3 linked regions of the Lonchura striata genome follow. The protein of the gene in region 1 purifies or fractionates together with the protein of each later gene. This does not show direct contact. Links are inferred from orthologs where the notes say so. Each region holds a gene or a part of one and is shown in the gene's direction. Other genes may lie near its edges.

What was found.
Region 2: the proteins of COPA (region 1) and COPB1 fractionate together in Homo sapiens (co-fractionation; 6 studies listed by BioGRID and IntAct, with this or other methods). This does not show direct contact. The link is inferred for Lonchura striata from reciprocal best matches to the Homo sapiens genes COPA and COPB1.
Region 3: the proteins of COPA (region 1) and ARCN1 fractionate together in Homo sapiens (co-fractionation; 4 studies listed by BioGRID and IntAct, with this or other methods). This does not show direct contact. The link is inferred for Lonchura striata from reciprocal best matches to the Homo sapiens genes COPA and ARCN1.

Annotation. Positions count from the first base shown.
Region 1 is NC_134635.1:3,583,148-3,590,605, reverse strand, and holds the start of COPA (coatomer subunit alpha), read left to right. Parts: upstream 1-4,369; 5' UTR 4,370-4,446; coding exon 4,447-4,486; intron 4,487-6,767; coding exon 6,768-6,881; intron 6,882-7,458. Other genes in the region: NCSTN (nicastrin), read right to left, coding at 502-625, 2,598-2,702, 4,181-4,292. UniProt on the Homo sapiens protein: The coatomer is a cytosolic protein complex that binds to dilysine motifs and reversibly associates with Golgi non-clathrin-coated vesicles, which further mediate biosynthetic protein transport from the ER, via the Golgi up to the trans Golgi network.
Region 2 is NC_134608.1:50,406,721-50,414,348, forward strand, and holds the start of COPB1 (coatomer subunit beta), read left to right. Parts: upstream 1-4,598; 5' UTR 4,599-4,783; intron 4,784-4,980; exon of another isoform or gene 4,981-5,110; intron 5,111-7,175; 5' UTR 7,176-7,236; coding exon 7,237-7,327; intron 7,328-7,628. Other genes in the region: PSMA1 (proteasome subunit alpha type-1), read left to right, coding at 42-171, 788-867, 1,562-1,666, 2,156-2,212. UniProt on the Homo sapiens protein: The coatomer is a cytosolic protein complex that binds to dilysine motifs and reversibly associates with Golgi non-clathrin-coated vesicles, which further mediate biosynthetic protein transport from the ER, via the Golgi up to the trans Golgi network.
Region 3 is NC_134625.1:10,937,695-10,945,510, forward strand, and holds the start of ARCN1 (coatomer subunit delta), read left to right. Parts: upstream 1-4,790; 5' UTR 4,791-4,892; coding exon 4,893-4,895; intron 4,896-5,913; coding exon 5,914-6,177; intron 6,178-6,774; coding exon 6,775-6,954; intron 6,955-7,167; coding exon 7,168-7,370; intron 7,371-7,780; coding exon 7,781-7,816. Other genes in the region: IFT46 (intraflagellar transport protein 46 homolog), read right to left, coding at 79-174, 530-615, 893-953, 1,202-1,268, 1,339-1,460, 1,840-1,968, 2,281-2,374, 2,473-2,547 and 3 more. UniProt on the Homo sapiens protein: Component of the coatomer, a cytosolic protein complex that binds to dilysine motifs and reversibly associates with Golgi non-clathrin-coated vesicles, which further mediate biosynthetic protein transport from the ER, via the Golgi up to the trans Golgi network.

The DNA of each region.
Region 1 (7,458 bases):
GGCCTGGATCCCAGATTTCGGAGCCGGGGAGGGTCTGGATCCCAGATTTCAGAGTGTGGGAGGGTCTGGATCCCAGATTTCAGAGTGTGGGAGGGTCGGGATCTCAGATTTCTGAGCCGGGGAGGGTCGGGATCCCGGATTTCTGAGCCGGGGAGGGTCGGGATCCCGGATTTCTGAGTTAGGGGAGGGCTGGATCCCGGATTTCAGAGCGTGGGAGGGTCGGGATCCCGGATTTCAGAGCGTGGGAGGGTCGGGATCCCAGATTTCAGAGCCGGGGAGGGCTGGATCCCGGATTTCAGAGCGTGGGAGGGTCGGGATCTCAGATTTCAGAGCCGGGGAGGGCTGGATCCCGGATTTCTGAGCCAGGGAGGGCTGGATCCCGGATTTTGGAGCCGGGGAGGGTCTGGATCCCAGATTTCAGAGTGTGGGAGGGGCTGGATCCCGGATTTCAGAGCCGGGGAGGGTTGGATCCCGGATCCCGGCGTTCCCAGCGCAGGGCACCTGGAGAAGAGGCTCCCGTCGAGCAGGATCACGTAGGGCGGGTGGGGGCCCTCGGCCAGCGCCCACGGCAGGTCCTGCTCCCGCTCCACCACGTGGATCACGCCCGTGTCGCCGCTCAGCGAGGCTGCGGGACCGAGCAGCCCCTCAGCATTCCCGCCCCCATCCCTGGCTTCCCGCGGAATTCCGGGGCGGGGGCCTGAGGGAGAGCTGCGAGGTGGACGTTTGGGAATTCTGAGGGGAAAAGTCCCGCAGTTCCTCGGAAATGCAGGAGAGGGGCACGAGGGAGCGAGGGGAGAGCTGCAGTGTGGAAATGGGGGATTCGTGCCCTCAGAATTCCAGGGAATCCCGTGGAAAAATCCCCGGGTTTGCATGGAATACCAGGGCAGGGGTGTGAAGGAGCGAGGGGAAGAGCTGTGGGATCAGCCCCTCAGAACTCCACGGAATCCCACGGAAAAATCCATGGAAATCCATGGAAAACCAGAGAATTCCACAGAGAAATCGATGGAAAGCCAGGGAATCACACCAAAAAATCCATGGAAAAGCAGGGAATGCCAATGAAAAATCCCTGGAAATCCATGGGATACCAGGCAGAGGCATGAGGGAGTGAGGGAAGAGCAACGGGGTGGAAATGTGGGATTTGTCCCCTCAGAATTCCCAGGAAAAGCAGGGCAGGGAGCTGAGGGGCTCTGATGCTGGCAGGATCACCGGGAGGCTCCCTCACCCCATCCCAGCATTCCCAGATTCCCAGGAATTCCGATGGATCTCACACCGGCAGGATCACCAGGAGGGTCCCTCACAGCCCGCACCCCCCAGCATTCCCAAATTCCCAGGAATTCCCATGGATCTCACACCGGCAGGATCACCAGGAGGGTCCCTCACAGCCCTCACCCCATCCCAGCATTCCCAGATTCCCAAATTCCCGGGATTTCTCACACCGGCAGGATCACCAGGAGGGTCCCTCACAGCCCGCACCCCCCCAGCATTCCCAAATTCCCAGGAATTCCCATGGATCTCACACCGGCAGGATCACCAGGAGGGTCCCTCACAGCCCTCACCCCATCCCAGCATTCCCAGATTCCCAAATTCCCGGGATTTCTCACACTGGCAGGATCACCAGGAGGGTCCCTCACAGCCCTCACCCCATCCCAGCATTCCCAGATTCCCAAATTCCCAGGAATTCCCCACACCAGCAGGATCACCAGGAGGGTCCCTCACAGCCCTCACCCCCCCAGCATTCCCAGATTCCCAAATTCCCGGGATTTCTCACACTGGCAGGATCACCAGGAGGGTCCCTCACAGCCCTCACCCCCCCAGCATTCCCAGATTCCCAAATTCCCGGGATTTCTCACACCGGCAGGATCACCAGGAGGGTCCCTCACAGCCCTCACCCCATCCCAGCATTCCCAGATTCCCAAATTCCCGGGATTTCTCACACCGGCAGGATCACCAGGAGGGTCCCTCACAGCCCGCACCCCCCCAGCATTCCCAGATTCCCAAATTCCCGGGATTTCTCACACCGGCAGGATCACCAGGAGGGTCCCTCACAGCCCTCACCCCATCCCAGCATTCCCAGATTCCCAAATTCCCGGGATTTCTCACACCGGCAGGATCACCAGGAGGGTCCCTCACAGCCCGCACCCCCCAGCATTCCCAGATTCCCAGGAATTCCCATGGATCTCACACCGGCAGGATCACCAGGAGGGTCCCTCACAGCCCTCACCCCATCCCAGCATTCCCAGATTCCCAAATTCCCGGGATTTCTCACACCGGCAGGATCACCAGGAGGGTCCCTCACAGCCCGCACCCCCCAGCATTCCCAGATTCCCAAATTCCCGGGATTTCTCACACCGGCAGGATCACCAGGAGGGTCCCTCACAGCCCGCACCCCCCCAGCATTCCCAGATTCCCAAATTCCCGGGATTTCTCACACCGGCAGGATCACCAGGAGGGTCCCTCACAGCCCTCACCCCATCCCAGCATTCCCAGATTCCCAAATTCCCGGGATTTCTCACACCGGCAGGATCACCAGGAGGGTCCCTCACAGCCCTCACCCCATCCCAGCATTCCCAGATTCCCAAATTCCCGGGAATTCTCACACTGGCAGCCGATCTGGTGCGTGGCGTTGAGCAGGCGCACGCAGGGCGCCGTGTGGTTCAGCGGGATGTAGATCTTGCGGTGCACCGAGTTCCCACGGACCGGGGCTGAAACACCGGGAATGGGAACGGGAAACACCGGGAATGGGAACGGGAAACACCGGGAATGGGAACGGGAAACACCGGGAATGGGAACAGGAAACACCGGGAATGGGAACGGGAAACACTGGGAATGGGAACTGGGAATGGGGATTAAGAATGGGAATGGGGACTGGAAATGGGGACTGGGAACTGGGAATGGGAACCGGGAATGGGAACGGGAAACACCGGTAATGGGAACTGGGAATGGGGATTAGGAATGGGAATGGGGACTGGGAATGGGAACCGGGAATGGGAACGGGAAACACCGGGAATGGGAACTGGTTAATGGGGACTGGGAATGGGAAACACCGGGAATGGGAACGGGAAACATCGGGAATGGGAACTGGGAATGGGGATTAAGAATGGGAATGGGGACCGGGAATGGGAACGGGAAACACCGGGAATGGGAACTGGGAATGGGGACTGGGAACTGGGAATGGGAACTGGGAATGGGGACTGGGAACTGGGAATGGGAACGGGAAACACCGGGAATGGGAACGGGAAACACCGGGAATGGGAACTGGGAATGGGGATTAGGAATGGGAATGGGGACTGGGAATGGGAACCGGGAATGGGAACGGGAAACACCGGGAATGGGAACGGGAAACACCGGGAATGGGAACCGGGAATGGGAACGGGAAACACCGGGAATGGGAACGGGAAACACCGGGAATGGGAACGGGAAACACCGGGAATGGGAACGGGAAACACCGGGAATGGGAACTGGGAATGGGGACTGGGAACTGGGAATGGGAACCGGGAATGGGAACGGGAAACACCGGGAATGGGAACTGGGAATGGGGACTGGGAATGGGAACCGGGAATGGGAACGGGAAACACCGGGAATGGGAACGGGAAACACCGGGAATGGGAACGGGAAACACCGGGAATGGGAATGGGGATTAGGAATGGGAATGGGGACTGGGAATGGGGACCGGGAATGGGAACGGGAAACACTGGGAATGGGGATTAGGAATGGGAATGGGGACTGGGAACTGGGAATGGGGACTGGGAATGGGAACGGGAAACACCGGGAATGGGAACGGGAAACACCGGGAATGGGAACTGGGAATGGGAACGGGAAACACCGGGAATGGGGACTGGGAACTGGGAATGGGAACTGGGAATGGGGACCGGGAATGGGAACGGGAAACACCGGGAATGGGAACTGGGAATGGGGATTAGGAATGGGAATTAGGAATGGGAATGGGGACTGGGAATGGGGACTGGGAATGGGAACCGGGAATGGGAACAGGAACAGGAACCGAACGGGAACGGGGATCGGGAACGGGAATGGGGATTAGGAATGCGAATGGGGACTGGGAACCGGGAATGGGAACGGGAATGGGAACAGGAACAGGAACCGAACGGGAACGGGGATCGGGAACGGGAACGGGGACCGGGAATCTGCCGGTGCACCCCCGAACCGCCCGCTCGGGGCTCACCCGCCGCCAGCGCGGCCACGAGCAGCGCGCGGAGCACGCCCAGGGAATCCCGGCCCCTTCCCGGGGAATCCCGGCCCCTTCCCGGCCAGCCCCGGCCCGGCCCCGCCGCCATCGCCGCCCGCGGGCGCTTCACTTCCGCTTCACTTCCGCGTTGCCGGCGGAAGCGGCGGGGCGGAAGCGGCGGGGCGGAAGCGGTGCCCGTTTCCGGGGCGGCCCCGCGGTGCCGACGTGGAGGTTCCGGGCTGCGGCCGGGCCGGGCTGGCGCCATGCTGACCAAGTTCGAGACCAAATCGGCGCGGGTGAAAGGTGGGAAACGGGAAAGGCCGGGAGAAGCCGGGACAAACCGGGAGAAGCCGGGAGAAACCGGGAGAAACCGGGAGAAGCCGGGATAGAGCGGGACAAACAGCGGAAAACCGGGACGGACCGGGATTCGGGGGGTGGCGGAGGCGGGATCCCGGGGGGAAGATGGAGCCCGCTCCTAACGGAGAGTCCTGAGCGGGTCCGGGAAAGGATCCCGGGAGTGGATCCCGGGAGTGGGATCCTGGGAATGAGGATGGAGAATCCCGGGAATGGGATCCCGGGAATGGGAATGGGATCCCGGGAATGGGATCCCGGGAATGGGAATGGGGATGGGATCCCGGGAATGGGATCCCGGGAGTGGATCCCGGGAATGGGGTCCTGGGAATGGGGATGGGATCCTGGGAATGGGATCCTGGGAATGAGGATGGAGAATCCCGGGAATGGGATCCCGGGAATGGGAATGGGATCCCGGGAATGGGATCCCGGGAATGGGAATGGGATCCCGGGAATGGGATCCCGGGAATTGGGGATGGGGTCCCGGGAATTGGGGATGGGATCCCGGGAATGGGGATGGGATCCCGGGAATGGGATCCCGGGAATTGGGGATGGAGAATCCCGGGAATGGGGATGGGGTCCCGGGAATGGGGATGGGATCCCGGGAATGGGATCCCGGGAATGGGATCCCGGGAATGGGGATGGGATCCCGGGAATTGGGGATGGGGTCCCGGGAATTGGGGATGGGGTCCCGGGAATTGGGGATGGGATCCTGGGAATGGGATCCCGGGAATGGGGATGGGATCCCGGGAATTGGGGATGGGGTCCCGGGAATGGGGATGGGATTCTGGGGATGGGATCCCGGGAATTGGAGAGTGATCCCGGGAATGGGGATGGGGTCCCGGGAATTGGAGAGTGATCCCGGGAATGGGATCCCGGGAATTGGGGATGGGATCCCGGGAATTGGGGATGGGGTCCCGGGAATTGGGATGGGATCCCGGGAATTGGGGATGGGATCCCGGGAATTGGGGATGGGATCCCGGGAATTGGGGATGGGGTCCCGGGAATTGGGGTTTGATCCAGCAGGGATTTGGGATCTGATCCAAAGGGGGATTTGGGATCTGATCCAAAGGGGGATTTGGGATCTGATCCCAGGGAATTGGAACAGCCTCGAGCTGTGCCAGGGTGGGAAATTTGGGATGATTTTTCCATGGGAAAAGGGTTGGGAAGCGCCAGAAGGGGCTCAGGGAGGGCTGGATCCCATCCCTGGAGGGAATTCCCGGGATTTGTGTGCTGGAATTCCCGGGATTTGTGTGCTGGAATTCCCAGGATTTGTGTGACAGAATTCCCAGGATTTGTGTGCAGTTCTCAGGGTTTTCCTTCCCCTTTCCCAAGTTTTCCTCTCTCCTTTCCGGGGGGTTTCCCGATCCTTTTCCCTGCCCTTTCCCAGGTTTTTTTCCCCCCCTTTTCCCAGGTTTTTCCCCACCCTTTCCCAGTTTTTCCCAGTTTTCCCCCACGATTTCCCCATGATTTCCCCCAGGATTTTCCCAGGATTTCTCCAGGATTTTCCTGTTTTTTTCCTTGCACTTCCCCACTTGTTTTCCCCAGGATTTTCACAGGCTATTCCCAGTTTTTCTTCAGTTTTTCCCTCATTTCCCCCCAGTTTTTCCCCCATTTTCTCCCAGTTTTTTCCCCATTTCCCCCCAGTTTTTTCCCAGTTTTTTTCCCAGTTTTTCCCCCAGTTTTTTCCCCGTTTCCCCCCAGTTTTTTCCCCATTTTCCTCCCAGTTTTCCCCCCAGTTTTTCCCCCATTTTCCCCCAGTTTTTCCCCCATTTCCCCCCAGTTTTTTCCCAGTTTTTCCCCCATTTTCCCCCCAGTTTTTCCCCCATTTCCCCCCAGTTTTTCCCCCAGTTTTTTCCCAGTTTTTCCCCCAGTTTTTTCCCAGTTTTTCCCCCAGTTTTTCTCCCATTTCCCCCCATTTTTTTCCCAGTTTTTCCCCCATTTCCCCCCAGTTTTTCCCCCATTTCCCCCCAGTTTTTTCCCAGTTTTTCCCCCAGTTTTTCCCCATTTCCCCCCAGTTTTTTCCCAGTTTTTCCCCCAGTTTTTCCCCCGTTTCCCCCCAGTTTTTCCCCCATTTCCCCCCAGTTTTTTCCCAGTTTTTCCCCCAGTTTTTCCCCCGTTTCCCCCCAGTTTTTCCCCCATTTTCCCCCAGTTTTTCCCCCTTTCCCCCCACTTTTTCCCAGTGCTTTTTCCCCGGTTTTCCCGGTTTTCCCATGCTTCCCGTGCTTCCCAGGGCTGTCGTTCCACCCGAAGCGCCCATGGGTGCTGAGCAGCCTCCACAACGGCGTCATCCAGCTCTGGGACTACCGCGTGGGCACCCTGCTCGACAAGTTCGACGAGCACGACGGTGGGAGACGGGAATTCCGGAATTCCGGGAATTCCGGGGGGAATGGGAATGCCGGGGGGAAAATGGGGGGAAAAACGGCGAAAATCTGGGGGGGAAATGGGAATTCTGGGGGGAAAAACAGCGAAAATCTGGGGAAAACCAGGAAAGATCTGGGGGAAATCGGGAATTCTGGGGGGAATGGGAATTCCGGGGGGAAAACACGGGGAAAATGGGGGGAAATTGGGAATTCTGGGGGGAATGGGAATTCTGGGGGGAAAACACGGGGAAAATGGGGGGAAAACCAGGAAAGATCTGGGGGAAAATGGGGAAAGTTGGGAATTCTGGGGGGAATGGGAATTCCGGGGGGAAAACATGGGGAAAATCTGGGGAAAACCAGGAAAGATCTGGGGGAAATTGGGAATTCTGGGGGGAATGGGAATTCTGGGGGAAAAACACGGGGAAAATGGGGGGAAAAATGGTGAAAATCTGGGGAAAACCAGGAAAGATCTGGGGGAAAATGGGGAAATTGGGAATTCTGAGGGGGAAATGGGAATTCCGGGGGGAAAACATGGGGAAAATGGGGAAATTGGGAATTCTG
Region 2 (7,628 bases), on another chromosome or scaffold:
TTTGTTTAACATTCTGTGGGGGTTTTCTTCTCTCTTTGAAGGATATGGGCCCTCACATCTTCCAGACTTGTCCCTCTGCAAACTATTTTGACTGCAAGGCAATGTCCATTGGTGCTCGTTCACAGTCAGCACGAACTTACTTGGAGAGGCACATGACTGAGTTCACTGACTGTGAGTAGTGGAGCTCTCTCTACCCACTGGTATTCATCAATTCTGCAGTTTATCTCCTGCTGCCACTCCATTCTTTTGCATTGAGTGAGATGAAGATAAATATTGTGAACCAAGTTTGGCATAACTGTAAATCTGCATAAAGACAAAATTTTAGAGAATATGGCTGAGATTTTCATGTCTTAACATGTGGGTGTTTATTTCATCTAATGGAAAGAAAAGCTGTGAAAAACGTTAAGAGCCTCTGCCCTTTTTAACTCAGGAAAAATGTTTCCATAGCAGAGCAGGGTTAGTATGTCAGGGCAAGTATTTAGGTGCTGCATTTAAAGTGGTGAATTTATTTTTCTTACAGGATGATGATGAGGAACCATTTAATACCTGCTTGGGGGGAAAAAGCTTAAATCAAGGCAGGGGTCAAAAATGGGTGCACTTGGCCTCAAATATAGGGGAAGGCTGGTTTCTCAAGGAAAACTTTTATAACCAGCTCTGCTCAGAAAGGAGAGGAAGTCTGGGAGTCAAGCTGATTTTGGAGTTGTCAGCTAGGATTAGGAAGAAGCGGAATGAGTGTCTAGAGGTAATACCATATAGGTTGTCAATGTCTTTCTGATCCTATTTTAAGGTAATCTAAATGAGCTAGTTAAACATGGACTGCGAGCCCTGAGAGAGACTCTTCCTGCTGAACAGGATCTAACCACCAAGGTAAGGACTAGGTTTCCTTTGCCATTGTTACTCTGAAGTAACTGTGACAAAATTCTTGGAAGTATGGCTGGCACCAAAACTTTGAAGCTGAATACTGCTAGATAATATCTTCATTTCAGGTTGCCAGTTTATCTACTGTTCTGTGTTCATCTCAGGTTTAAGTTTCTTCACAAAAACGATGCGTTCACTAAATAAAACACTGTTTCCATGGTGGCTTCACTCTATCTTAAGCTTTGATCAGTGGTTAAGATGCATCACCTGCGGCTGTAGAATCCCAGCTTTGCATTGTAAGCACAGTCAGTAATTCACCTGGGCGGTGAGTGGAGGTTATGCACCAGCAGTTTCTAGAGCATCCAGCATCACAAAGCTGCACAAACTTTTGACAATGAATTGAGGACCTGTTGAAGAAGAAAATTCTTAGAATATCCAATTATCTACCATTTTCCATGTTTTTTTATTCTTAGCTTGCCATGTTTTTTAGAGGTCATAAAATACTGAAAATCAAAATGAGTTGAAAATAAGTGGTTTTGAGAAATTGTGTGTGTTATTAAAAAGAAAATGATAGAAATTTAAACCCTTGAATGGCATTACTTAGAAGATTTTGAAATTTGATAGCTTTTGTAAATGAAAGCTGTAAAGCCAAAGTTAATTGCAGGAAAATGCTTCTCACTGCTTCTGACCCTTTGCTTGACAGAATGTTTCAATTGGAATTGTGGGTAAAGACATGGAGTTTACCATCTATGATGATGATGATGTAGCACCATTCCTAGAAGGTCTTGAGGAGAGACCACAGAGAAAGGTGAGTGGTTCAGTTATGAATAAATAGGCTTGGTTGAAAGACAATAGTTAGAGATTATCTATTATGTTTAACATAAATTTAACTCTACTACTGTACCAGAGTATTAGGAAGGTAATTTTTAAAATATGTAGTTACTATATGAACACTGCATCATCTGATAATTCAGATGCTTATTAAATCAGTTTATTCTGGATTTATGCCAGGCTGTTCCAATGTCATCTTCTTTCCTCATCTCTGATCAAGTAGGAGCTTTCGAGTTTTACAGCAGAAGTGGTTGCATATGTTTCTCATGCCCTTTGCAAGATGCCTCTGTAGTTTCCTAATTACCAACTATGTCCTGCTTGTGCTTAATGTGGGTAACAGTAATTTGTGAGCTGTTGGCTTACACAAGCTGCATTTACCACTCATGGTGCTCCAATGGGGATAAAGCTGATTTGTCAAGTGTTGTCTTCTGCCTTCCTAAAAATATTTCTTTTCCCTCTCTCTAAGCTGGTCCCGCCAGTTGAAGAAACTGTGGAGAAGGCAGAGGAACCGATGGAACACTAGTTGGTGGATGAGTTCCTCTGTTAATGTATAATTATCCAGGAACATTTATCCATTTGCTGGTAACTTTATCCTCACCTCTATATGTTTTATGATACTACATTCTGAGGATTGCTCGCAAAGAAAGAAACCAACCAACCCACCTATCCTTAAAAGATAGACAGGAGGACATATCTGGGTGTAACTTGGACAAGAAAGGTGTAATCATTTTCTAAATAGTACACGATACTGTTTTATAAAGAAAAGATACTGTCTTTAACTCATAAGGACAAGTGGAAATAAATCACTTTCTCGGATTCTGCTGTGAGTTTGGGTTTTTTTTCAGTCTGAAAAAACAGCTATTCACAAATAGCAGTGTCATGCCAAGCTGCCATTCTGTGTTTGACCATTTGTTAGAGTGTTTGCTTACCATGTAGAACTGAGGGGATCTTAAAATGCCTATGAAACCATAAAATAGTCATGGAGCAAACAGGGAACAGCGTTTACCTGTGTCAGCTTGTCCCAACTGAAAAGGCATTTGAAGCTGACAGTCAAAAGGTCAGTTTTTTTGGGGGAATTTGCTCAACCCCAGCTTTTTTAGAACTGCCAGTGTCTTTTTTAGAGCCATCAGCCAGTCTTGGGGCAGAACAGGGCTTTTAGCTCACTGAGGGCTGAATTGGAGTTAACAAAAACCCACCAGAAGTTCCCATTAGAGGTCTCCACGGCTTTGTCTCTTCAGCTTGGTCTGCAACTGGTACTCTTTGGATTTGGGCTGAATGCCACGAAGTCTGGGACTAACAGTGAGTTCCTCAGGGTCATCTGCCAGGGAAGTCCAGTGAATTGGTGCGACCTGGGCGGGATGCTGTATTGTAAGCAAGAAAGAGTTCGTGTTTTTCTGTGTTGGATCACTAATATAATTGTTCTCCCCAGTGATTGCATTGAAAATTGCAAGGAATAGTCTTCTGGAGTGGACCCACATAGGCCCTGATAGCCTGCTCAGTGTACTTGAAAAAAAAAAAAAGCCTGGAACCTTCAGATTAATAATTTATTAATATTTCTTAATTAAACAAAAATCAATAAATCATGGTGCTGTTTTGAACAGGCTTTCAATACTGTCTTGAATCCATACAAATAGTTCAGTCATGAAAATAGCAGAACAGCAGTGCCAGGGCTGCATATTTGTTTTTTAAGTGTTAGAAAAAGCTGCTTTTATTTTTCCTAAATTTATTTTTATTTTACGTTTTCTCTATTTTTCTATTTCTTTCCTCCCTTATTTCACCTTTTACTCATTTTTCCCTCTCTTATTCATTTTCATTTTTCCCCTTAATTACTTTTTCACCATTATTTATGTTTTCCACTTTATTTATTTTCCCATTGGTTTTTTCCTTCTTTTCCTTCCCCTTGCTTCCCCCTTGTTTTTCCACCCCCCATTTTTTTCTCTCCCTTTGCTTCTCCCCACATTGTTTTTTTTCTCTCCCTTTGCTTACTCCCCACATTTTCCCTCCCTTTGCTTTTCCCTTATTTATTTATATACCCTCTTCTTTATTCATTTCCCGTAATCTATTTTTCCAGTTCATTACTGATTTCCCCCAATTACTTTTTCTCCCCACCTATTTATTTGTTCTTATTTATTTTTCCCTTTACCATTTCCGAGCCCCCCTTTTATTGTCTTTTTTTTGGTTGTTATTTATCTAATTGCTTTCTATCTATATCTGTCTATATCTATCTCCATCTCTATATTTCTGTCTCTCTCTCTCTGTCTGTCTCTCTGTCTGTCTCTCTGTCTGTCTCTCTGTCTGTCTCTCTGTCTGTCTCTCTGTCTGTCTCTCTGTCTGTCTCTCTGTCTGTCTCTCTGTCTGTCTCTCTGTCTGTCTCTCTGTCTGTCTCTCTGTCTCTCTCTCTGTCTCTCTCTCTGTCTCTCTCTCTGTCTCTCTCTCTGATCTCTCTCCAATCATCTCTCTCTATTTCTCTCTATCATAATCTATCACCATCTATCATCTCTATCTAATAGCTAGATCTATAGCTATCTAATATCTGTATCTCTCTATCATCTATATCTATTAGCTATAGCTAATAACTATGTCCAATATCTATCTCTATATGTATCTATCATCTATATCATCTCTATATATCTATTTTATCTATTCTCTAATATCAAAATCTATATCAAAATCTGTGTCTGTCTATATCTAAATCTCTGTCGATATATGCGGCGCTTTTAATCTCGGTTTCGGCCGCTCTTTCCCGCTGTTTTCCCGGATCCCCCCGCGCGGGAAAACCCCGCCGCGCGCTCGGGCTCGTGACGTCACGCGCGCAGCCCCTCCCGGCCCCGCCCTCTTCCCGCGCGGCGGCGCCGCCCCGTTCGCGCTGGCGGGAGGCGTGTCCCGGCGCGGCCGCCGTAGGCGCGATGTGGCGGGGGCGGGCGCGGCTCCACGTCAGCCATCGGCGGAGCGGCAGCGCCGCGGGCTGAGCGCCGGGACACCGCCGGGACACCGCCGGGACACCGCCGGGACACCGCCGGGACCGGCCCGACCCCGCCGCTGTACGGAGCCGCGCGGCCCGCCCGCGCCGGCCTCGCGGGGCCGGGGGGAACGGGTGGGCGCCGCTGCTCCGCTGGGCGCCGCGAGGCCCGAGGCCTCGGGGCCCCGGCGGCAGCTTCCCGGTGTCCCCCGGCAGGGCCCCGGGGCGGCTGCGGGAGGGCTTGCGGCGCTCGGCGTGTGCTCAGGGGAATGGCAGGCGGCCGCGGCGCTGCGGGAAGTTTTGCCTCATAGCTTAAAATGCCCGGGTTTGGAGGGGAAGTAGGAGCGGGGACATTAAGGGAGAAATAGCCCCCAGCCGGCTGGAAATTTACCGGATTTTTTAGTAAACATTTGGAACGCTCTGTGCTATAATTGTGCCTCAGTGGAGCGCTGCATTCTCAAGGTTTGGTTCATTAGGTGCCCCCGTTCCTAAGGCTCCCCGGGGATGTAGGTGGCGAGCAGGCGTGGCTTTTTGTCTTCTGGCCTCTGTAAACTCTGCAACTTTCGATTTCCTTGGGTGCCCCATCCCTGCAAGTGTTCCAGGCCAGGTTGGATGGGGCTCTGAGCAACCTGCTCTGGTGATGGCAGAGGGTTTGGAATGAATTCCTCTTTAAAGTCCCTTCGGACTCCATTCATTCAGTGACTACCCACAGGTGACAGAGATGTTACCGCTGGAGAGTTAAAGCAGCACCTACGTCTGTGTCCCTGTGGGCTCTCAATTTCTCTGATTTCAAGTCTTTGTGCCTTGCAAGGAGGAAAACAGGTTCTCCCTGCCAAATCTCCCAGCTCTGTGTTTTAAGAGAGTTGTTTTTCATTGCTGCTTTTCAGAGCCCAAAGTACACTCATTTATCATGCTTCAGAGATATGTTTCACTGTAATTTTGGAAATTTCTGCAGCTGAGGTCTTTGAGTAAAGATACCTGCCCTGCTTTCACAAGGATCTACTTTATGGTCTGTGTGAGTTGTTCTTGTAGCTGAAGGTGCTGGCTGCAGGGCTTTGAGGCAGGAATTCTGGGTAACAGCATGGGAAATGTAAGCAAAAAAGCTGCTGCTGAGGCAAGAAAACAGTTGGGAAAGCCCTCTGAGATCATCAAATCCAACCTTTGATCGCCACCTTTGTCAACTGGAGCATGGCACTAAGTGCCACATCCAGTCATTTCAGGAATCGGTGGTTTATGTAGATATTTGTAAGCAACAAGATTGAGTGATCTAGGACTTAAAATACAGAATTCATAACAGGAAGAGGACTGTTTCCTTAAAAGTTTGTATTGCTAGTATTTTTTGGGGTGGTTGTTGTGGCACTGATTGATGCGAGTTGTTTTCCTCTGTGGAGAAAGGGACAGCAGCCCAGCTCAGCACAACTTCCCTGCTCCCTGTTCAGGGTGACGTTCTCTGGGTGCCCATTTGATGAGAAAAGGGAGTCTCAGACTTCCAGACAATTAATGTCAATAAAAGCTGATTTATTTTTGACACAATTTCTGTAGAAAGTACAAAATTGCTCATGTAATAAATAGTGACTGTTTTCTTTGCTGTGCTTTGTCAGTGTAGTATCACAGCATTAGCATTAGCCAAGCAAGCTCAAGCTTGAGCATTTTTCATTACTTAAGAAATAGAATAAGCAGGTTGATTTGATCCTAGATGTCTATTATATAAAGAATAAATAAACATGAGAATGAGGATTGATACAACAAAAAGGTTGATTTGATCCTAGATATCTATTACACAAGGAAAAACAAATCTGAGAATGAGCATTGAGCTTAATAGCAGATTTCATTACCTGGACTGCCAGGCACACAGCAGCTTAGATAGATCTGTAGCCTTCTTGTCCTTTTTCACCATAAAAAGACTTGGTTTCCTCATTAGTGTCTAGTGGAGACAGTAGAGTTGAGCTGATTTGATGATCCCTGGCGATAAAATGCTTCTGTCTCCTTCACTTTGTCTTCTCTCCCATCCTTGGTTTCTGCTCTCTTGGATCTCATGCTCATCTTCAAAGCTTCCTGCATAGACTGATTTGGTTTGTTAATTGAGCTCAGAACTTTATCTTTTCATTTTCTCTTTCTTCTGTGAAGCTTTTCAGCTGATTTTGCAGCTTGGGTGATTCAGCTGGAGGGACACAGGAGTGTAGGGAAGGTAGTGGGAGTATACAGCTGGGTATGACTTCAGAAGGGAGAAGCTGCATCCATTTGCCTTCAGTCAGGTGCCCTGTACACTTCTGTTATCCCTGACTGCCCAAAATATTGGAAAGTTTTTGTTCTTTTTCTGTTGTCTCTGAAAAATGTCATACTCTTCATCTTTGTGGTGCTCACAGGAATATTTCAGGGTGGTAGCAAAGCAAGAAGCCTTTTGCATGTAGCTTCTCAAGAAACAGCAATCCCTTCAAGCCATTAAGTCAGTTATAATAATATAATGATTTGTGTTTGTTAATAAAATCTTTTAACTTTGGGATGGCTTTGTTTGCTTGGTTTTTAGGTTGTCTGACATTTGTGTGAAAATAATTCTTCCCTTGAGAGAACTCCTGTAACCAAGAGCCATGACTGCTGCAGAGAACGTGTGTTACACGTTGATCAATGTTCCCATGGATTCAGAGCCACCTTCTGAAATCAGCTTAAAAAATGACCTAGGCAAGTATTGACAGTGATTGAAGGATACTCCATTTTGCCTGAATTAGTCACTCATTGTGCCTTTCCTAGAGTATTGTTTACATTTTGTAAGCTAAAACAAGTCTGTTTCATGTTTATTTTCTGTTGAGCTCTAGATGTATGTTCCTCTGTTTGCTGTGTTTAGAGAAATGTCATTATATAATTTTATTTCTTTGGTGTACTCCCCAGTCTGTGCAAAATCGGATTTTTTTTTCTTTTTGAGAGCGTTTTAAGTAATACCTGCTTGGACGAAGGCATATTTAAGCAGATTTTTTTGGAATAA
Region 3 (7,816 bases), on another chromosome or scaffold:
TATCTCCCCAGCTGCTCTGGGTACACCTCAGTGTCCAGTCAGACAGTGATCCAGGAGATGAGGCTTTAACGTGAAGGATCAATTAAAGCTCAACACCTCTGCCTCCGTTGCTTGTGAGGGTGGGTTGGATGGTGGGCTCCTGCCCTTCTGCCCATCAGCCAGGGGCTTGAAGTGCTGCAGGGAAAAGAACATGCTCATGCAAGATTTGACTCCCACTGCTCAGAGCACACACATACATCTGAATGGGACGGCCACATGGGCTCTGCATGAGTTGTATGCCCAGCAGCCAGCCCAGGGAGATGCATTCTGGCTTGTGTTGGCCTGTTGAACAACACGGCACCTCAGCCCAGAGCACAGCCCAGCTCCCTGTGTCAGGCAGAGGCATCAGGGAGAGGAGCAGCTGAGAACATGTCCTCTGGGGCCCACCAGTCCTGTGCACACTCCCATTGCCGGCACAAAGCCAAATGTGAAGGGACCAGCTGCACAGTGCTGCTAGCTGGGTGAGCAGCACCTGGGTGGAGCTGCATACCTGCGAGTTCTTGAACTCCAAGAAGAGGGAGAAGAGGACATGCAGAGGGTGGATCCGGCTCTTGTACACGGGGATGTCCAGAATGGCTGCAGGTGAGATCAGAAGCGTGTGAGGGCACCTGGTCTGCACTGCCCCACACAGAGCATTGTCAGGAGGGGCTGAATTCTCCACTGCCCACCATCACCTGGGGCTCCACGCACCAAAGACTGCAGACCCCTGTAGCACAAGAGCCCACCTCCCACTGCAGCAGCAGGAATAATCCTGACTGCTTGGGGCTGAGCCTGCAGCTAAAACTCTCTGGCTTTCAGGGAGAGTGCCAGGCCAGCATCACACGGTGTGAGCAGCACAGCCTCCCCAGCTCACCGCAGATCATGTCGATGTACTCAGCAAGGTCACAGCTCATCTCTGCGCTCGGAAGACCCACCTGCAACAGACGGATCTGTCAGATCTGCTCCCGGACTGCAGGAGCCTGGGAGCATGCAGAGACCACTGGGGCAGCAGCTGGGAACTCCAGCGTTGGGCTGCCCCCCAACTTCTGCCTAGGGCGCAGTTGTGAGGAGGAACAAGCCCAAGAGGACTGGGCTGTGGGATGGGGCAGGCATCCAGCTTTCATGGGGGATGGGTTTCTAAGACCAAGCACTGAGCTAACTACTGGTCACCCAGACAATCTACCTTTCCCAGGAGCTCCTCGAATTCTGGTGACCATTCCTGCATCAGGGTCTCGATGTCAGGCATTGGCCTGCCAGGGAAGAGAAGAACATCAACTTCAGGATCAAACACAACCTTCCACTGCCAACATCAGGGCTCACCTGGAGTAATGGACTGTGGCAGGAGGTTTGCAGCGACGCAGTTCACTAATACTTTCAATCCAGCTCTCAATGGCTTTAGGGTTCTTTTCTGCATTCTCCAAACTCTTCACTTTTATTTGCTGCTAAAAACACAAATATAAACCTGGAAGTGTTTCATGGTGTTTTGGGGCTTTTCGGAAAAGCTGCATTCACTTCTGGTGAACCAGGCCTACTCTCTTTCCCAGCTGCACTTTACCAATGAATTTCTGCAGCCAAAATGCCAACTAAAACTGGGTATGAACAGCCAAAAGGAAATAAAGCATCACCTGAAGTGAACAGACCCAGAGTTCATATCAAGACTTGACTTGATCAAGGCTCAGATCCACTGCAGTTTAAAACTATGGATTACAGCAAAAGGTCTGGTTGCTGCCTTTAAAGTCAACTTCTCAGTTGTAAGAGTAAAATGCCACGGTTTTACTCCAGGAAATGTGCAGCAAGTGTGACCTCCCCCTCCTGACTCACTGTGATGTTGTGCTGCTTGGAGTTCTCTGTCAGCCAAAGGGAGAGCACAGTGGGATCTGACTGCTTGGTTGAGGGCTCATCCAGGACCAGCAGGCCAAGGTTGTCAGGTTTGCCATCAGGACGAGGAACCTGCAGGAAAGCAGAGCCCTGTTCTCTGTGGAGTCCAGGGCAGGTTTGTACAGAGCCTTCTCTCAGATGTGCATTCTAAGTACAGTGCTGCCTGAAAAGCACACGGTGCTAAAGGAGGAGAAGCCAGGCTTTCCCCCAAGTTACCCAAGTGCTGTTTGAGAGGTGACCAAACCACCAGTGCAGTTTATCAGGTCTCTGCCCATCGACAGACCAGACCCCAGGCTACATGGCCTGGCTGCCTACTTGTTCTGAGCCTGAGTTCTGTTTTGGTTTGTGGGGCAGGATGGAGAGAGGAACCTGAAGAAACCATACCTTTAAGAATGCATCAATGTCTCCAACAGCAGGAATAAAGTCTGGAATAAAAGGCTGCAGCTTGTGCTCAATCTCTATTGTTTTGGGAGTGTACCTGGAAGAAAACACCATCACAGCATAGGTGACTAGAAACTGTACTGCAATCATTGACACAAAGAAGAGCCAAGAGCAGGCTAAAACCCTTCCTCTCACCTCTTGATGTATTCAAAGAGATCTTTGATTTCAGAAGACACTTGCAGGTAGTCAAAATCTGCTGGATTGAAGTCACTAAAAGAAGGAAGAGAGTAGAGGGAGAAGATGAGCATGTGGCAAGTTCTGTACAACAGAAATCAGGACCCAGCTGGGGCAGATACATGTGGGAAGCTGAAGCACCAGGCAGTAAGTCATCTCTGGAAAACACTTCTTGCACAGGGAAAGCATTATTGGGCTCCATTTTGCTTTGGATCTGCTGGCCAAGAAAAGCACCTGAGCAATGGACGTCTGAGATCACAGTCCCACAGAGGGCTGTCAAAAGGGGGCTAAGTGCTCTGCACAAGGGCAGCAATAGGACAGCAATTAGGGGGTCAGCAATAGCTTTGAAGCTGAAAACAGTGGAAAAGGAGAAGAATTATGAGGATCTGAGTGACATGTTGGAGATGGTCCTTCCCTTTTCTGGACTTCTCCTGCCAGCCCAGCCTGGCTTACACCTTGGATCACTCCAGCTGTGCCTCTCCTGGGCACAGCAAACAAGCCCGGGACTGGTTCACCAGCTGGAGGAACCACCACCCTGCAGCACGGGGGACGAGGAGGCAGGAGCTGCCTGTCCCAGTGCCCACGACTCTGCTCACCCTCGCGGGACTCGGGAAAACCGGCGGAGCTGTCAGGGCCCGAGAGGCACCCGGCAGCCTCTGGTCAGGAGCAGCGCTCACCCCTCCAGCGCGGCCCCGTGCTCCTCCGAGTCCTCCTCCGAGTCGCTCTCCGAGGAATCTTCCTCCGAGTCCTCATCGTCCTCGTCCTCATCCTCGCTGGAGGCGGCTGGGCCGGGAAGGTGCGCCGCTGCGTCCTCCTGGGCGACAGCCGGGTCTCAGGGGATCTCACCGGGCTCTTACCAGGACCTCACCGGGATCTCACTGGGATCTCACCGGGACCTCACCGGGATCTCACCGGGCTCTCACCGGGACCTCACCGGGATCTCACCGGGATCTCACCGGGCTCTCACCGGGACCTCACCGGGCTCTCACCGGGATCTCACCGGGCTCTCACCGGGACCTCACCGGGCTCTCACCGGGCTCTCACCGGGATCTCACCGGGCTCTCACCGGGATCTCACCGGGCTCTCACCGGGATCTCACCGGGATCTCACCGGGACCTCACCGGGCTCTCACCGGGATCTCACCGGGCTCTCACCGGGACCTCACCGGGCTCTCACCGGGCTCTCACCGGGACCTCACCGGGCTCTCACCGGGATCTCACCGGGCTCTCACCGGGACCTCACCGGGCTCTCACCGGGCTCTCACCGGGATCTCACCGGGATCTCACCGGGACCTCACCGGGATCTCACCGGGATCTCACTGGGATCTTACCGGGCTCTCACCAGGACCTCACCGGGATCTCACCGGGATCTCACCGGGATCTCACTGGGCTCTCACCGGGATCTCACCGGGCTCTCACCGGGATCTCACCGGGATCTCACCGGGCCGCCCCCGCCCGCTGCGCTCGTACCTTGCCCCCGCCGCTCCTGCGCTCGGCCGCTCCGCCGGACCCCGCGGGCCCGCGGGAGTCCCGCGGCGAGCGGGCCCCGGGCTCGGCCTCGGGCAGCTCCAGGCTCTCGTCGTACGGCTGGTTCTCCACCGGGCGAGGCTGCGCCGGGAGGCACAGTCAGCGGCGGGGAGCGGCGGGGCGGCCGCGCCCGGCCACGCGTGTGTCCCGGTGTGTCCCGCCGCACGCCGTGTCCCGTTGATTCCCACCGCACCCCGTGTCCCGCCGTGTCCCGGTGTGTCTCGGTGTGTCCCTCCGCACCCCGTGTCCCGGTGTGTCCCCCGCACCCCGTGTCCCGGTGTGTCCCTCCGTATCCCCGTGTCCCGGTGTGTCCCCCCGCACCCCGTGTCCCGGTGTGTCCCCCCGCACCCCGTGTCCCGGTGTGTCCCGCCGTGTCCCGGTGTGTCCCGCTGTGTCCCGGTGTGTCCCCCCGCACCCCGTGTCCCGCCGTGTCCCTCCGTATCCCCGTGTCCCGGTGTGTCCTCCCGCACCCCGTGTCCCGGTGTGTCCCGCCGTGTCCCGCCGTGTCCCGGTGTGTCCCGCCGTGTCCCGCCGTGTCCCGGTGTGTCCCCCCGCACCCCGTGTCCCGGTGTGTCCCGCCGTGTCCCGCCGTGTCCCGGTGTGTCCCCCCGCACCCCTGTCCCACCTCGGCCCGCCGCGCGTCCCGCCGCGCCGCCGCCGCCGTCGCCATGGCGACCCCGCCCCGCCGCGCGGCCCGGCCCGGGCGCGCCCCCTGGCGGCGGGGAGGGGCCGCCCCGCCCGCCGTGACGGCACTTCCGGGTGCGGACGTGGCGCGGCGCCGCCATCTTGCGGGGCCGCCCGGGAGCCGGAGGGAGCGGAGCGCCCAGCGCCGATCCCGCCGCCGCCGCCGCTGCTATGGTAAGGGCAGGACTGTCCGCCGCGAGCAGCGCAGGACTCGGCACAGCCCCCGGGGCAGCCCTCGGGCTCGCCCCGGCCGCCTGGCCTGTGTGCGGGCCGGCGCTGGACCCGCGGCCTGCTGGGACGGAGCGCGGCGCCGCCGCCCCGCGTCGGGCCGGGCCCCGGGGGCGGCGGGGACGCGGCGCGGACGCGGCGCTTTTTCTCTGGTGACCCGGAGCCACGGTGCCTCCTTAGCACGGCTTCCTGCCCGCTCTAGTTGCGTTCGGGTGTAAGCGGGCTGGTGGGACCCCGTGTCTCGGGGCCGGTCCGGCTCCGTCTGTCCATCGCGGCGGTGTTTGGGTTTCACCGACCGCACACAGCTCCGTCAGAGCTAAACTGTGCCCGAGGTGCGGCAGGGGTCAGCGCTGCCCCGTTTGAGGGTTTCGGATACTTTCTGTCAGGAACAGCAGTTGCGGATTTAAAAGGTTCGAAGCGCCGAACAGAATTATCCTGACAAAAGGAATTAACATCTGTGAGAGAGAAATACAGGGAGGAAGTTTGGGCAGACTGGGAGCTAGAGAAAGTGCGCTGGTGAGTGCCTTGCTGCCCTGTGGGTGTGATAACGCCTGCGAGATGCCCGGGAGTCGTGGCAAGGCTTCGCTCGCCTGGTGCTGAGCGTGCGGCGCTGGAGAGAGATGTTACATTTCACAGCGCTCCTGTGCCGAGCTGTAAGCTGGGACAGCCTGGTGGGAAACTCATGGATAACCCAGAGCCTCCCATAACGCTCCCAGGGGTTGTACACCTCTGTTCGTGTGAAATTGGGAACGATCAGACCTGACAGAAGCAGGGAGAGCTGTCAGGATTGTGTTGGGACAGAACGTGAAATGGAGAGAGAAAGCAAAAGCAGAGATGTCTCTGCTCTTGCCATAGTTCATTCCCTGGTCACAGAGAAAGAGTTAGGGTCTTGTTTAAGGAGGGGTGTGCAGGTGGAGTGTGGTGGGAGGAGATGCTTTCCGTGCTGACACGCTGTCTCCCCCAGGTGCTGTTGGCAGCCGCTGTGTGCACGAAGGCAGGGAAGGCCATCGTGTCCCGGCAGTTCGTGGAGATGACTCGCACCCGCATCGAGGGGCTGCTGGCGGCATTCCCAAAGCTGATGAACACAGGGAAGCAGCACACATTTGTGGAGACAGAAAGTGTGCGATATGTGTACCAGCCCATGGAGAAGCTCTACATGGTGCTGATTACCACCAAAAACAGCAACATCCTGGAAGACCTGGAAACACTCAGACTCTTTTCTAGAGTGGTAAGGACTCGTCACTCCATGAGGTAGCCCAGAGCAATTCTGTTGTGAGGGATCTATTTCTGAACTGGTGCAGGACCACTGTGTGCCTCCACTTGGTAGGTCTGTGCTCCAGAGCTTCCCTTCCTGACTGGACAGAAAGCTCTGAAATTTTGGTGGTACTTTTGAACTCCACATTAAAAAAAATAATCATCAGTTGTACCTCACTTGATGAGACCAAAGGGCTGACTGTAATTTAGCATTAAATGTTCTTTGTACAGTGTTACAAGTGCAGCGCTGCTGTGCAGGGATCCTGAAGCAGCAAGTTTGTGTCTTCACATAGCCAAAGGATTTTCAGGGAATTCACTGGCCCCAGCATGCAGTTGGGTTCTTTTGAGTTAGTGTTATGAGGAAGCTGAGCGGTTATATGTGGATTTTGATTTAGAAAAACTAACAGTGGCACAACTTCGTCTTGTTTGTTGACAATGTAATGGTACAATGAGCAGTATAAAGTTGTGCTGGGCTTGGGTCTGGCACAGCTGTGACCCTGGGATGGTAGAAAGAAAAGTGTCTACACAGTACTGTTTGTGGGTACTCCTTTAAAATGTTCTCTCCTTCTAGATCCCTGAATATTGTCGAGCTCTGGAAGAAAATGAGATCTCAGAACACTGCTTTGACCTAATCTTTGCCTTTGATGAAATTGTTGCCCTGGGCTACCGTGAGAATGTAAATCTGGCACAAATTCGGACCTTCACTGAGATGGACTCACACGAGGAAAAGGTGTTTCGGGCAGTCAGAGAGGTGAGCAGGGACACCTACAGTCCTGACATAAGGTGCCCTGTCTGAGAAACACCACTTTTGCTGTACAGAGGTGTTCTTCCACTTGGTGGGGTTGTGCAATCATTTAGCTTTTGTGAGGGCTAAATGCTTTTTTCTTGACCGGGGTTTTGGGCAACTGCACTTAGTTCCTGCTCAGGTTGCAAAGCTCCATCAGCCTCTTCTCTTTTCCTTCAGACACAGGAACGTGAAGCAAAAGCTGAGATGCGCCGTAAAGCAAAGGAGCTGCAGCAGGCCAGGAGGGATGCAGAGAGACACGGCAAGAAGGCACCAGGGTTCGGGGGCTTTGGCAGCTCGGCCGTGTCGGGGGGCATGACAGCAATGATCACAGAGACCATCATTGAGACCGAGAAGCCCAAAGTGGCACCAGCTCCAGCCAGGTAGGGGGGACAGCAGGTGGCAGATGTTGGAGTCAGTGTTGGCTCAAACCATGTGCCTGGAGGGTCTAACGTGAGTTCCTCATCTGTGTAAGTATTGAGGAGCATTTGTGCCGCATACCACAGTAGTACCTCATAGTCTCTTTGGATTCTTTGGTGAACAATGGGCTTTCACTTTGTGTGAGAAAAAGAGGTCCCAGCTCCCGGTAATACATGGAGCTATATCTGAATCTAAATTATAACTTGGCACCCTACACATAAAACGATCAGTTCCATGCATGTTCTCCCCGAAAAAGGCTGCTGATTTGAGCGCTGTGGTGTTGGGATGGTCAAGTTACAGCATTTGAAGATAACTGGAAAGGGGGAGCCCATTGCTGTCAGCTGACTTGGAGATTATTACACATTTTATTTAGGCCTTCAGGTCCCAGTAAAGCCTTGAAACTCGGCGC